Neurospora crassa OR74A: one gene and its partners. The protein of the gene in region 1 interacts with the protein of each later gene in a pairwise test. Links are inferred from orthologs where the notes say so. Each region holds a gene or a part of one and is shown in the gene's direction. Other genes may lie near its edges.

What was found.
Region 2: the proteins of NCU11175 (region 1) and NCU01257 interact in binary tests that used the Saccharomyces cerevisiae proteins (3 or more experiments, as listed by UniProt). The link is inferred for Neurospora crassa OR74A from reciprocal best matches to the Saccharomyces cerevisiae genes DRS1 and EBP2.
Region 3: the proteins of NCU11175 (region 1) and NCU09131 interact in binary tests that used the Saccharomyces cerevisiae proteins (3 or more experiments, as listed by UniProt). The link is inferred for Neurospora crassa OR74A from reciprocal best matches to the Saccharomyces cerevisiae genes DRS1 and NOP12.

The regions. Positions count from the first base shown.
Region 1 is NC_026503.1:3,109,902-3,114,182, forward strand, and holds the start of NCU11175 (ATP-dependent RNA helicase drs-1), read left to right. Parts: upstream 1-1,471; 5' UTR 1,472-1,642; coding exon 1,643-3,370; intron 3,371-3,427; coding exon 3,428-4,189; 3' UTR 4,190-4,281. Other genes in the region: NCU00234 (hypothetical protein), read left to right, coding at 1-985. UniProt on the Saccharomyces cerevisiae protein: ATP-binding RNA helicase involved in ribosome assembly.
Region 2 is NC_026505.1:3,393,320-3,396,881, reverse strand, and holds NCU01257 (hypothetical protein), read left to right. Parts: upstream 1-1,284; 5' UTR 1,285-1,340; coding exon 1,341-2,295; intron 2,296-2,422; coding exon 2,423-2,778; 3' UTR 2,779-3,062; downstream 3,063-3,562. UniProt on the Saccharomyces cerevisiae protein: Required for the processing of the 27S pre-rRNA. Probably involved in the step of the processing of the 27 SA precursor into the 27 SB intermediate.
Region 3 is NC_026501.1:5,442,093-5,446,411, forward strand, and holds NCU09131 (nucleolar protein 12), read left to right. Parts: upstream 1-1,471; 5' UTR 1,472-1,773; coding exon 1,774-1,784; intron 1,785-1,847; coding exon 1,848-1,911; intron 1,912-1,972; coding exon 1,973-3,082; intron 3,083-3,151; coding exon 3,152-3,751; 3' UTR 3,752-4,207; downstream 4,208-4,319. Other genes in the region: NCU09130 (hypothetical protein), read right to left, coding at 1-869.

The DNA.
Region 1 (4,281 bases):
GCTTGGGGTGACGGAAAATTTGAGCATCACCGGACGAGAACTCGAAGCTGCCCGCGCAAAGACTGTCCAGCCAATTCCTACGTCATACGGGCCGAACCCTGTCACTCCCACGCTAACGCCGCGGGCAAGCTCCAGGGGAGAACTTAATGAACGCGCTGCTGCCGACTCGATTTCCCTTGACAGCCGGCTTGGAGTACCCCCAATGCCCTCATTGCCCCAGTTATCTGCGGCCTCCGCAGCACCTCTCGGTGGCTATTACCCCGATTACCACAACTACGAACAGTACACCACCCCTCCTCCAACCGAAGCTCCAACTTCAACACCACATCTTCCTCTTCCTTCAGTTCCTACTACGCTCCCACGACCAAACCCAACAACCTCACAAACCCAACGGCCACAGCCCCCATTAATCGTCTCATATGGACCCAACCGAGTAACGCCCACTCCAGCTGTGACTTCGCCTACAGTGCCTCCCGACGAGTCTATGATTGAAAGACCACCTAGAGGAGTTGAATTACAAGGCGAACCCGCATCTCTGATGGAAAGGAGACATCCATGGGAGGACATTGATCTCCCGAGCGCCAGTAATAACGGTCCTTTACCACCATACGCATCGACAGAGGAGTACGCTGCAATGGAAAGCGGCGCGATCCGTAAGCTGGAGGAGCCAAGGGCGCATGCTGAGCTGCCACCAACCAAAGATGGCTACTATCATGCTACGTGGGATATTGTTGAGCACGAATTGCCAGGTGACGGATATCAACGAGACCCTCTCTACCCGCAAGCATCCGCGTCCGGACGTGGAAGGGATATCGATGAGCAGAAATTCTTGCTGGATGATGTTGAAATGGCGCATTTGAAGGCGCAGAAAGAACGAATCCGCGCTGAAATGAAGAAGAAGCAGAAGCAGAAGGAGACTTACCAGCAGGACCAGGGGCATGACCAGGACTTCCTTGGAGCGTCGGCGAGCTTCTCCACACGGTAGCACGAGTGATAATGTGGCGGTCCATGTGAAGAAAGTTACGTTGTGGGCAACTGATGTTTTGGAGGCGAAGGTTTGAGGATTAGCATTATACCATTGGCAAGGTGTCTGGCGTTCATTTTGGGTATCGACGGGGTAGATGACTCCTGTGTAGTATCATCATATAATACGGGCTGATACATCTGCGTTGAGAATAGCTGGACCATATGCCCCGCACAAGTATAAATATAGTCCTACTGTAGTAAGGACAAGGTCCTCTGGCTCTATAACATGAACGCGTATTCAATTTCTTGGGACAATGTGGTGTTGAACGAGTTGCTCCCGAAGACGGCAGGTACTCACTTGATAGTTGAGATGGTACGTACCCATCCCCGCAGCTGTCGACCAGCTGCCACTGATAAGATCCCCAGATCCTCCAATCACATTGACCGCCCGGCAGAAAAAGTTACAGACGGGCATGGTTCCCAAATTTTTGTTTTCCCTTTCGTTCTGCGGCGGAGGAAGAGACGAAAAAAGACCCCACTGACTGCTATCAGTTGTACAATCTTGACGATTCCACCAATTCCCACTCAGCATCGGGAGCTTCCCGTCGTTCTCTTTTCCAACACAACACTACAGAACAAACAACGGTCACAGACCGTTGCAACACCATCCACCACAATGGCGCCCTCCCAAAAGCGCAAAGCGATCGACGACGATTTCATCCTCACCATTTCCGACAATGAAGAAGACATCCCACTAGAAGAGGAGCAAGAAGTTGTACCCAGGAAGAAGGCCAAGACGGCCACACAACAATCGAACAAGCAAAAGAAGAAGAACAACAAGAAGTCCAAGAAACAGCAACAGACTGAAGATGACGACGACGAAGCCGAAACAAAAGAAGACGACGCCGCCGACCTCGGCATCTGGGGCGACAACGACGAAGACGACGGCGCCATGGATACCGAGTTCCAGTTCGTTGTCGACGGCCAGAACGAAGTGGACGCCGAGTTCGACGGCTGGGGTTTCGAGGGCGCGCACAAGGGTGTTGTGAAGGGCGCCAACGCGGGCGGGGACAAGAAGGCTGTGGATATCGATGAGATTATCAGAAGGAGGAGAGAGAGGAAGGCTGCTAAGGAGGGGAAAACCACGGCGACAAAAGAGGAGGAGGATAAGATGGAGGTTGATGAGGAAGAAGACGACATAGAAGAGATTGATGTGGATTTGGATGATGATGAGGATGGTGTCTTGGCTGACGATGCTTTTGGTATGGGTGTTGGGTCGGACGTGGAAGAGGAGGAGGAGAAGCAGGATGCGAAGATGGGGGGTGTTGATGGGGAGGATGAGGATAGTGAGGGTGAAGATGGGGAGAAGAAGGGAGAGGATGAAGACGAGGGCGATGCGTCGGATGATGACTCGGTTGCTACGGCCGTTGAGCATCCTGATGATGTGCAGTCATCGGATGATGAAGAGGGTATTGATGAGGAGGAGGAGGCCAAGATGAAGGAGTTCTTTGCGCCGGAGGAGGAGAATCAGCCTAAGAAGAAGGGCGAGATGTCTTCGTTCCAGGAGATGTCTCTCTCCCGTCCTATCCTTCGCGGTCTTACTTCCGTGGGCTTCACCAAGCCGACGCCCATTCAGGCCAAGACCATCCCCATTTCGCTTATGGGTAAGGATGTCGTCGGTGGTGCCGTCACCGGTTCCGGTAAGACGGCCGCCTTCGTCGTTCCCATCCTTGAGCGTCTCCTCTACCGTCCCAAGAAGGTTCCCACCACCCGCGTCGTTATTCTTACGCCCACCCGTGAGTTGGCTATCCAGTGTCACGCTGTCGCTGTCAAGCTCGCCAGCCATACCGACATCAAGTTCTGTCTGGCTGTCGGTGGTCTCAGTCTGAAGGTGCAAGAGGCCGAGCTCCGTCTTCGCCCGGATGTGGTCATTGCCACTCCTGGTCGTTTCATCGATCACATGCGCAACTCTGCCAGCTTCGCCGTCGACACCATCGAGATTCTCGTCCTCGATGAAGCCGATCGCATGCTCGAGGACGGTTTCGCGGACGAGTTGAACGAGATTCTTACCACCCTTCCCAAGTCCCGCCAGACCATGCTGTTCTCTGCCACCATGACGTCGTCTGTCGACAGGCTCATTCGCGCCGGTCTCAACAAGCCTGTGCGCATCATGGCCGATTCGCAGAAGAAGACTGCCGGTACGCTTGTTCAAGAGTTTGTCCGTCTCAGACCCGGTCGCGAATCGAAGAGGGAAGGATATCTGTTGCACATCTGCAAGACTATCTACACGGAGCGTGTCATTATCTTCTTCAGACAAAAGAAGATTGCGCACAAGATGAGGATCATCTTTGGTCTGTTTGGATTGTCGTGCGCCGAGTTGCACGGTAGCATGAACCAGGCTCAGGTATGTTTACGATTTACGATGCTCCAGATGGATGAGTGATACTAACAGGATCCATAGCGTATTCAAAGTGTCGAGGACTTCAGAGATGGAAAGGTCAACTTCCTCCTTGCCACCGATCTCGCCTCACGTGGTCTTGATATCAAGGGTGTCGACACCGTCATCAACTACGAGGCTCCCCAGACCCCCGAGATCTACGTCCATCGTGTCGGTCGTACAGCGCGTGCGGGCCGCAGCGGTACCGCTATTACCCTGGCTGCTGAGCCCGATCGCAAGGTCGTCAAGGCTGCCGTCAAGGCCGGCAAGTCTCAGGGCGCCAAGATCAGCAGTCGCATCATCGATCCCGCGGACGCCGACAAGTGGCAGGCCGAGATCGACGAGTTGGAAGATGAGATTGAGGAGATTATGCAGGAAGAGAAGGAGGAAAAGCAGCTGCAGAACATGGAGATGCAGGTCAAGAAGGGCGAGAACATGATCAAGTACGAGGACGAGATCAGCTCGAGGCCCAAGCGCACGTGGTTCGAGACGCAGGAGGACAAGAAGAAGGCCAAGGCGGCGGGCCGGGCCGAGCTCAACGGCGTCAGGGACAAGCTCAAGTCCAAGAACGAGGGCAAGTTGAGCAACAAGGACAGGAAGAAGCTCGACACCATGCAAGAGCGCAAGCAGGAGAGGACATACAAGAAGGGCAGCGCCGAGAGAGCCGGTAAGGGCGCGGTGCTGAACCTCAAGAAGGTCGTCAAGAAGGTGGGACGGTCTGCTGGGCCTAAGAAGAAGGGCGGCAATGCTGGTAAGGGTGGTAAGGGCAAGGGCAGGAGAAAGTAAATGTGAGGAGCACGATTCTGTTGTTGTTGTTGAGTTTCTAAATGTAATTGAGCTTCAAGCTAAGTCTAGTGTGCTTTTGATACCCGAGTGGG
Region 2 (3,562 bases), on another chromosome or scaffold:
CTTCTTTTTGTTGGGGATAACTTCACACGGGACTACTTTTCGTCCACACGGAGCTTTCCCTCTTCAATTTTCGACACTCAGGCAACTCACCTTATCTTTCTGGACCCTTTCTCTCTTTTGTCGTTGATTCGACACCAAACACCCTTTGCGGACTGAGGACATCGCCGGCGGGAAACGATGCAGCAACTTCTCTTTGGTTCACACTCTTCGGCAAACGTCACCTGGGAGTCGGCGGACTCACACCTTCCAACCTCAACCTCTTCCATCTGCTGGGAGGGAGCTATTTCGCGACATGCTTCTCTCTTTTGTTGGGTGGGACTTGCACGGGCTTGGGTATGGCGCTTGGTTCACCACTCCTTTTTCTTTGCGCACTTTCTTGGAATTTTCTTGGATAGGACTGTAGAGGAGGGAAGTCTTCCTTTCTGTCTTGGCAGGGAGGGGGGACTCGCGGGATGAAATTTGTGGAGGGGGAGGACCATGTGGGGAGTTTTCACTGTATCTTTCTGATCTTGGTTTGCGGAGGGGAGGGATTGTGGGGGTGAGTTGGCTTGGTTGAAGGATTTGAAGAGTGTTAGTTCTTTTAATAAAAAAAAAACCCCGGTTGACACCATATCTTTGGATGCTCTCATGACCGTGACTACCTCTATGATTGTGAATTTCATTATCATCGTATGCCTCTTCGTAAGACTTTTCAGAGCAACTGACTTTAGTGATAAAGCTGTCAACTTGCAAATGGAACGCTTGATCGATCATCAAGGCAAGATACGCGGAGGAATGGCCTCGGCTCCGAGAAAATATACTACATCCCATTACATGTATCAGCTCGACGTCCCAGACATATTTCTGATCTGTTTCGGCCAGGTTAGGTTCGTGATGTTTGCGCGGGACAAGGCTCCTCCACTGAACGCGAAGTTTGATGTATCAGGAGACTCGTGTTGAATCACCTTGACACAGGCTGCGGGTAGCTTACGAGAAACTGGGCAGAGATACACAGGGCATGGTGATATACACTAGCAATCAATCTTGAGATCACCGAGAAAACGCAGTTCGGTGGGTGACCATCACCGTGACTACAGGCCCATTGTAACTCGTAACCTGAGGGTTGGGGTTTGATGTGCCAGATTCAGAGAGAGTGTGAAGGGCACTTCCAGGAGCTGGGCTGTGGATACCTCTATGCCGGGCGCCAAGCATCCACATTTGGGTCCGCCTCCGACCCACCAGGCTTATCTTATCGGGTAATGGCAGCCGCCATGTCAAAAAAAAGTTTCCAGAACTGCAAGCGCTGCCGCTTCTCGAGCTCATCATCCAAATCGATTGTACAGCAACCCCACATAATCACAATGCCGCGACAGTCCACCCGCACAAAAAAGCCGGCCACCAAGGCTCTTGAGGCTGAGAAGATCGAGAAGATTGTTGAAGAGAAGCCCCAGAAGGAGCAGAAGAAGCGTGGCAGAAAGCCCAAGCAGGTCGTCGAAGAAACCCCTGTAGAGGACAAGATGGATGTCGAGGAGGAGCAGAAGGCGGAAGAAACCACCACTCAGACCAAGGCCGACGAGAAACCAGAGCAACAGGAAGAGGCCGGTTCAGATTCTGAGGAGGGTAGTGACGACGAAGAGGACAACGATCTCGATCTTGATGCACTTGACGAATCCGATTCCGACTCAGAATTCGAGCGCGACCTGAACGAGAAGCAATCCGCCGCCGGCATCCAGGCAAACAAGTACCAGAAGGCCGCCGAGGAATCGAGCGACGAGGAGGAGGACGAGGATGAGATCGACATTGATGAGCTCGACGTCGACGGAGAAGAAGGAGAGGAAGTCAAGGCCATTTCGAGGGCGCGCCAGACAATAAACAACAAGCAAGGTCTCCTGACGGCGCTCAAGCGCTTCGCCCTCGACACAACCGACAAAGTCCCATTCGCCTTCCACCAGTCCATCGTTGCCAAGAAGGTGACGGAGGAGTCCATCCCCTCGATCGACGACGACCTGGCCCGCGAGCTGGCCTTCATGAACCAGGCGCTCGAGGCCGCCCGCGTCGGCCGCGCCCTCCTCCGCAAGGAGGGTGTCCCCTTCACCCGCCCTACCGACTACTTTGCCGAGACGCTGCGCAGCGACGAGACTATGGAGAAGGTCAAGGCCAAGCTTATCGAGGAGGCCACGGCCAAGAAGGCCTCGGCCGAGGCGCGCAAGCAGCGCGACCTCAAGAAGTTCGGCAAGCAGGTGCAGGTGGCCAAGCAACAGGAGCGTGCCAAGCAGAAGCGTGACACACTCGAAAAGATCAATCTTCTCAAGAAGAGTACGTGCCTCTCCTACCCTTCTCCTTCCCCTTCCCTTCTTAATTCCATAACAAGTTCTCTTCCTCTTCCTTCCCCTCCCCAACTTGATGATAACTGAAGCCAACTAACCTCCGCCTCCTTAAATAGAGCGCAAGGACGGCGGTGGCCCCACCGGCGCCAACGAAGCCGAAGACCTCTTTGACGTTGCCGTCGACAACGAGCTCAAGGGCGGCCCTGGCGGCAACAACAGCAAAAAGCGCGGCCGCGACGGCAAGGAGGGCGGCGGGCCCAACGCCAAGAGGCAACGGAAGGATGCCAAGTTTGGCTTCGGCGGCAAGAAGAAGTACGCCAAATCCAACGACGCCCTCTCGTCGGGCGACGTGAGCGGGTTCAGTGCGAGGAAGATGAAATCGGGCGGCCCAGCAGGCGGCAAGCCCAAGAAGTTCAAGCCTGCGCCTAGGCCTGGTAAGGCTAGGAGAAAGGCGGGGGCTGGAAAGAGGTGAAGTGAGTAAGCTTCACTGTGGCAGGAGCGAGAAGAAGCAGTGGAAGTGAAGAGCGGTGTCGATGCCATGATGGGTAATCTGTTTAGTTTCCAACCTAGTACAACAAAAGGTCAGCACGGCAGGTTGGTGACAAAGGTGGTAGTAGCGTGTATGAGTATACATCATCATGGGACCGGTCATACAACAAACATCATTGAAGGATTCAGATCAATTCAGTAGCCACTACCTTTACTTAGATACCTAAAGAGTTCTTTTCATGCCTTACAGTTTGATGGTGTTACCCGCTTGGCTCAAAGGTCCTTTTCTCATATCATTCATCTTGCAGAATGGCTATATCCGTTCACCCGAACAAACGGGTTCCTTACTTTCACCTTCATTCAAAGGCCCCCGATGTCGGCTCGTGAACAAAAACAAATCTCGGTCACTACAGTTTGTGAGAGTATCATCCTGTCACGGACGAGCCGCGCAAGGGCCATCGCTACTTTAAGACTAGGTACTTCAGATACACTAATACACGAGACATCCCCCTTTCACTCCTCGAACCCGCATGGTAAGGGGTTTGATGCGCAACACCATCGTAACGCCTGCTTGCTGCTATTCATCGAGACGAGCCTAAACCCAAACCCAGATTCAGACCCAAATAGACCTGGGAAGACCCATAACCACCAACGCCAGACATAGACCCGCCTTTCCTGAAGCTACAAGCAAATAGAAGAAAGAAACAACAACACAAAGAGCGGCTCATCCAATTCAACCCCACCGCTGTGTGGGATTAGGACGAAAA
Region 3 (4,319 bases), on another chromosome or scaffold:
TCATCTTTCGTTACGCTATCGGCGCCAGCCGTGATGGTCGGCTCATTAATATTATCTTCCTCGGCAGACTGGTTGCCGCTTTCGGGGTTCGTCGAAATGACCTCAATGTCGACGACAGGCACGTCATCGGCTGAGAGCTTTTCGGGAAAGGTATTTGACTCAGTCCGCCTTTTGAACGGTTGGCTGAGATCTTGTTGCTCGGTGACTGAGGAGCGTTTCCGCTTTAGGATATCATGTCGGGGTGATAGTGTGAGGATCTTTTCAGGCGAGGCGGAAACTATTTGTACTTTCTTCGCCAGCACGGGAGATCGCGCAGGTGGTAGTTTGGCAGCAAATTCAGGCTCTTCGTCACTCAGGTCTTCCGAGGCCTCTTCGTCACCCACTTCTGCTTCTTCTGAGGGAGTGTTTCGCCCGCTGGCAGTGTTTTCCGGTTCGTAATCAGATTTGATTTGCTGCTGAAGCTTGCTAGGGCTGCGCTCGAACGTCCGATCGCGGCGGTCGGTGAATTGTCGAGTGCCAGGCTCACCCGCGGTGTCTACGATGTCGCGCGATACTCGATCTTTCGGTGGTGTGTCGTAGAGCCTCTCTGTCTCTGCCTCGGAGTCATTAATATCCACGTCCGACAGCTTGCTCTCGTCGTCAGTCTCAGCGCCAAGGTCCGAGTCGACGCCATCGCGATTGTCAGTTCGGACCGATGTCTCGCGATGTTGAGAGTGGTTACTGTTCATGTCCAAATCCATGTCGTCAGGATCTCCATGCTTGTCTTCCACGTCACTAAGTGGGCTTGACACATCGCTAGGGCTGTGTTGGAGCAGAGGCGGAGGGGGGCTCGAGAGAGCCAAGGACAGCGCGGTGTCACCGGTAGCCATCGCGGATCATAGAATCCGACGAGATTGAAACTAAGCAACGACGCGCCAATGTTGGGTTGAGCAGCTGAGCAGTGGAAAGTTGGACGGCCACGTAGAATTTAGTCGTGGACGGCGGACTGGACGTCCGAACTGTACGGGCAGCTCAAGAGCAGCACCTGAAGTTGTGGCGCCACGATCAGGGTAAAGTGTGTTTATGCCGGAAGGTTAAAATGTGTGCTCGCACACAATGAAATGTCTCGGAGATATGGCTTTGTTGTCGGTACGAGGGCGCGATTGTCAAGAGATAACGTGCGGTCTGGGTAGGTAAAGTAGTAGGAAGACAGATCGGGAGAGTGAGGAGCGGGCAGTAGGTATCTGGTTGACGACCTAGACTGGGAGCTGGACAAGCGCCCACAGCACCGCACCAGCACGCAACACAAATGGGCAACCGGCAGGTTTCTGGGGGGCTCCATTGCCTGCCCGCTTGCCTGCCGCCGCCGCCCGTCTCCAACAGCCCAGCGCACCACACAAAGGCGATGGCAGGCGGTGAGTCTTGGCAGCTTTGATAACAACTGATAAGCGAGTTTTTTTTTTTAATGGGAGGATGCAAGATGTTCCACGGTCCTCGACTCGTCCTTACGATGCGCAGTGGGGAAGGTAGAAACGACGACCCTTTGAAACCCTGGACCATTGAACCTGCCTGCATAGAAACTGGTCTTGCCTTGTACAACATCCTGCTAGAAATCAGAAGTGGAAGCTTTGCAATTCGATTTTGACAGCATTTACAGCCAATCACATCTTTCGCCTCGTCGTCGAACTTCAGTTGTTTTTCCGTGCTCTTAGAACTAAGTCAATCACAAGTGCTTGATTGGCGAATCGTGCCACTTTCCCATCCATTGCGCTTACACACGACGGAAAACTCACAATGGGTAAAACGTGCGAACAGCCCTACGCTACAGTCAACGCCATTCTTCCAGTATTCTGACACCACTATTATAGTAAAGGACTCGTTGCGCCGGTGAAGAAGGTTGATCCTAGCTTGGATGCTTTGTTTGCTACCAGTGTAAGTCATCTCGCTCTGACCAGACAGGCAATTGGAAGTTTACATGGCTAATCTTGTGTAGGTTGGTCCAGCGAAGCCCCGCCCAGCTGCAAAATACTCCGAGCCCCTACCGACAAAGTCCAAGAAGGCGCCAGTACCTTCCAAGAAAGAGGAAGACGTTCAGGACGAGGGCGATGACGAGGAACTGAGCGAGCTTGACGAAGAATACGATTCCGAGGTCGGCATTGGAGAGGATGACGAAGACGACGAGGCTGAAGACAACAGTGACAGCGAAGACGAAGCCGTCGCGACCCTCGAAGTTGTTGTAGAACAAGGAAAGGTCCCGGAAGAAGATGGACCGAAACGGAAGCGGAAGCAACCCGACCAGCACGACAATCTCGAACACAAATACCTGTCCAAGTTGGCGGAGGACGATGAAGAGCCGGCTGGCAAGCGTCTCAAGGCCGACGAGCAATCCGGAGAAAAGAAGGATACCGCCAAGGCCGAGAAGAAGGACGACGACGACAGCGAGTCTGCGGATGAGGTCCCCGTTCACGAATCGCTAGCGCCCGATGCTGCCCAGAACGAGATTGAGAAGGCCAACCGCACCGTCTTCCTCAGCAATGTCGCCGTCGAGGCCGTCACCTCTCGTTCGGCCAAAAAGGCCTTGATGAAGCATATGGCTTCAGTGTTGGACAAGGAGGCGAAACCTGCGCAAAAGGTTGAGTCGATACGGTTCCGCTCGACTGCCTTCGCTACCGCTGCCATTCCCAAGCGTGCCGCTTATATCAAGAAGTCCGTGATGGAGGCCACTACGAAGTCGACAAACGCCTATGTTGTCTACAGTACCCCTGCGGCCGCTCGTCTTGCCTGCTCGAAACTCAACGGCACAATCGTGTTGGATCGCCACATCCGTGTCGACAGCGTTGCCCATCCTGCCCCGGTAGACCACAAGCGCTGCGTCTTCGTCGGTAACCTTGGTTTTGTGGATGACGAGACAGTACTGCAAGTGAAGGTAGACGAAGACGGTAAGGAGGTGACCGAGAAGAAGAAGCGGACAAAGCAGCCTATGGACGTTGAGGAAGGTCTCTGGCGGGTATTCGGTAAAGAGGGCGGCAAAGTTGAGAGCGTTCGTGTGGTCCGCGACCCTGTCACCCGTGTCGGCAAGGGCTTCGCCTACGTTCAGTTCTGCGTGAGTTATCACTTCTCTCTGTCTCTTACTTGCCCGTTATCAACTAACAACTCTGTTCCCCCTCCGTAGGATGAAAACGCCGTCGAGTCAGCCATCCTCCTCAACGGCAAGAAATTCCCGCCCATGCTCCCCCGCGAGCTACGCGTCAGCCGCTGCAAGGCCCCTCACAAGACCCTGCGTGCCATCGAAGCCAAGAAGCTCAAGGCGCAGGGTGCCGTTCCGGAAACTATGAAGAAAGGCAACAACGGGAAGAAGGGTCCTGGCTCCAAGAAATCCGACTACGCCCCCAAGATCTCCGCCGAAGCCAAGACCATCGCCGGCCGCGCTGAGAAGCTCCTCGGCAAGTTCACTGCCAGACAGGTCATCGGCTCCGACAAGAAGAAGACTTTCAACAAGCAGGACAGATACCAGGCCAACCAAAGGAGGAATCACGCCTCGGGCGCCAACACGGAGGCGACCGGTCCCAGAGTCCCGGGCGCCTACAAGTCCCCCGAGAGTTTCATTCTCGAGGGTAAGCGTGCTAGTGCGGCAGACGGAAAACCTAAGGATCTCAAGTTCAAGGGCGCCAAGAAGAACAAGGCGCCGAATGCGGGTGGTGGTAAGAAGAAGACTGGTCGTGCTGCTGCGAGGGCTTCGAAGTGGAAGGTTCAAGGGAAGGGGAAGAAATAAGTGCTAGGCCATTTGCCTGATGTTTAGGGTTGTTTGCTGGTATAGAGCCAACGGGCAGCAGCCGGCGTGGTGCGGGTGCGCGCGTTTCATCCGGCGCGGCCCGTGGATTTTCAAGCTTCAAGAAAAGGGGCAGAATTCGAAAGTGAACAGAAGCCTTCGATTCATGACGCGCGCATGTATGGATAGGATAGGATAGGCTGTAATGCAGTCATCGCATATGAAGGTATCTCAACGGACTGTCCCCAACCGCGTGATACTTCGCAATGACGGGAATGTGGAGGAAGAGCCTTGGCGCCCAGAACTAGGTACATATGTAGTTGTCTGAAATTGCAGTATAACCGTGGAACGACTGTTAAGCCTGGCTCCGTGGTTCTTGCGACAGGGAATCGCAAACAATACAAAAATTAACAACACGGCCACATTGAAAGAAAATAAAAAAGAAACAACGTGTAAAGCCTTCAAGTGCACCATACCAACTTTCTACATGATGTCTCGTGGAATTGTGGGTGAGCTGTGTAGGGTAAATAGGCAAGTCCCGCGCTATTGAATATTCCAGGGCAAGAGTTTA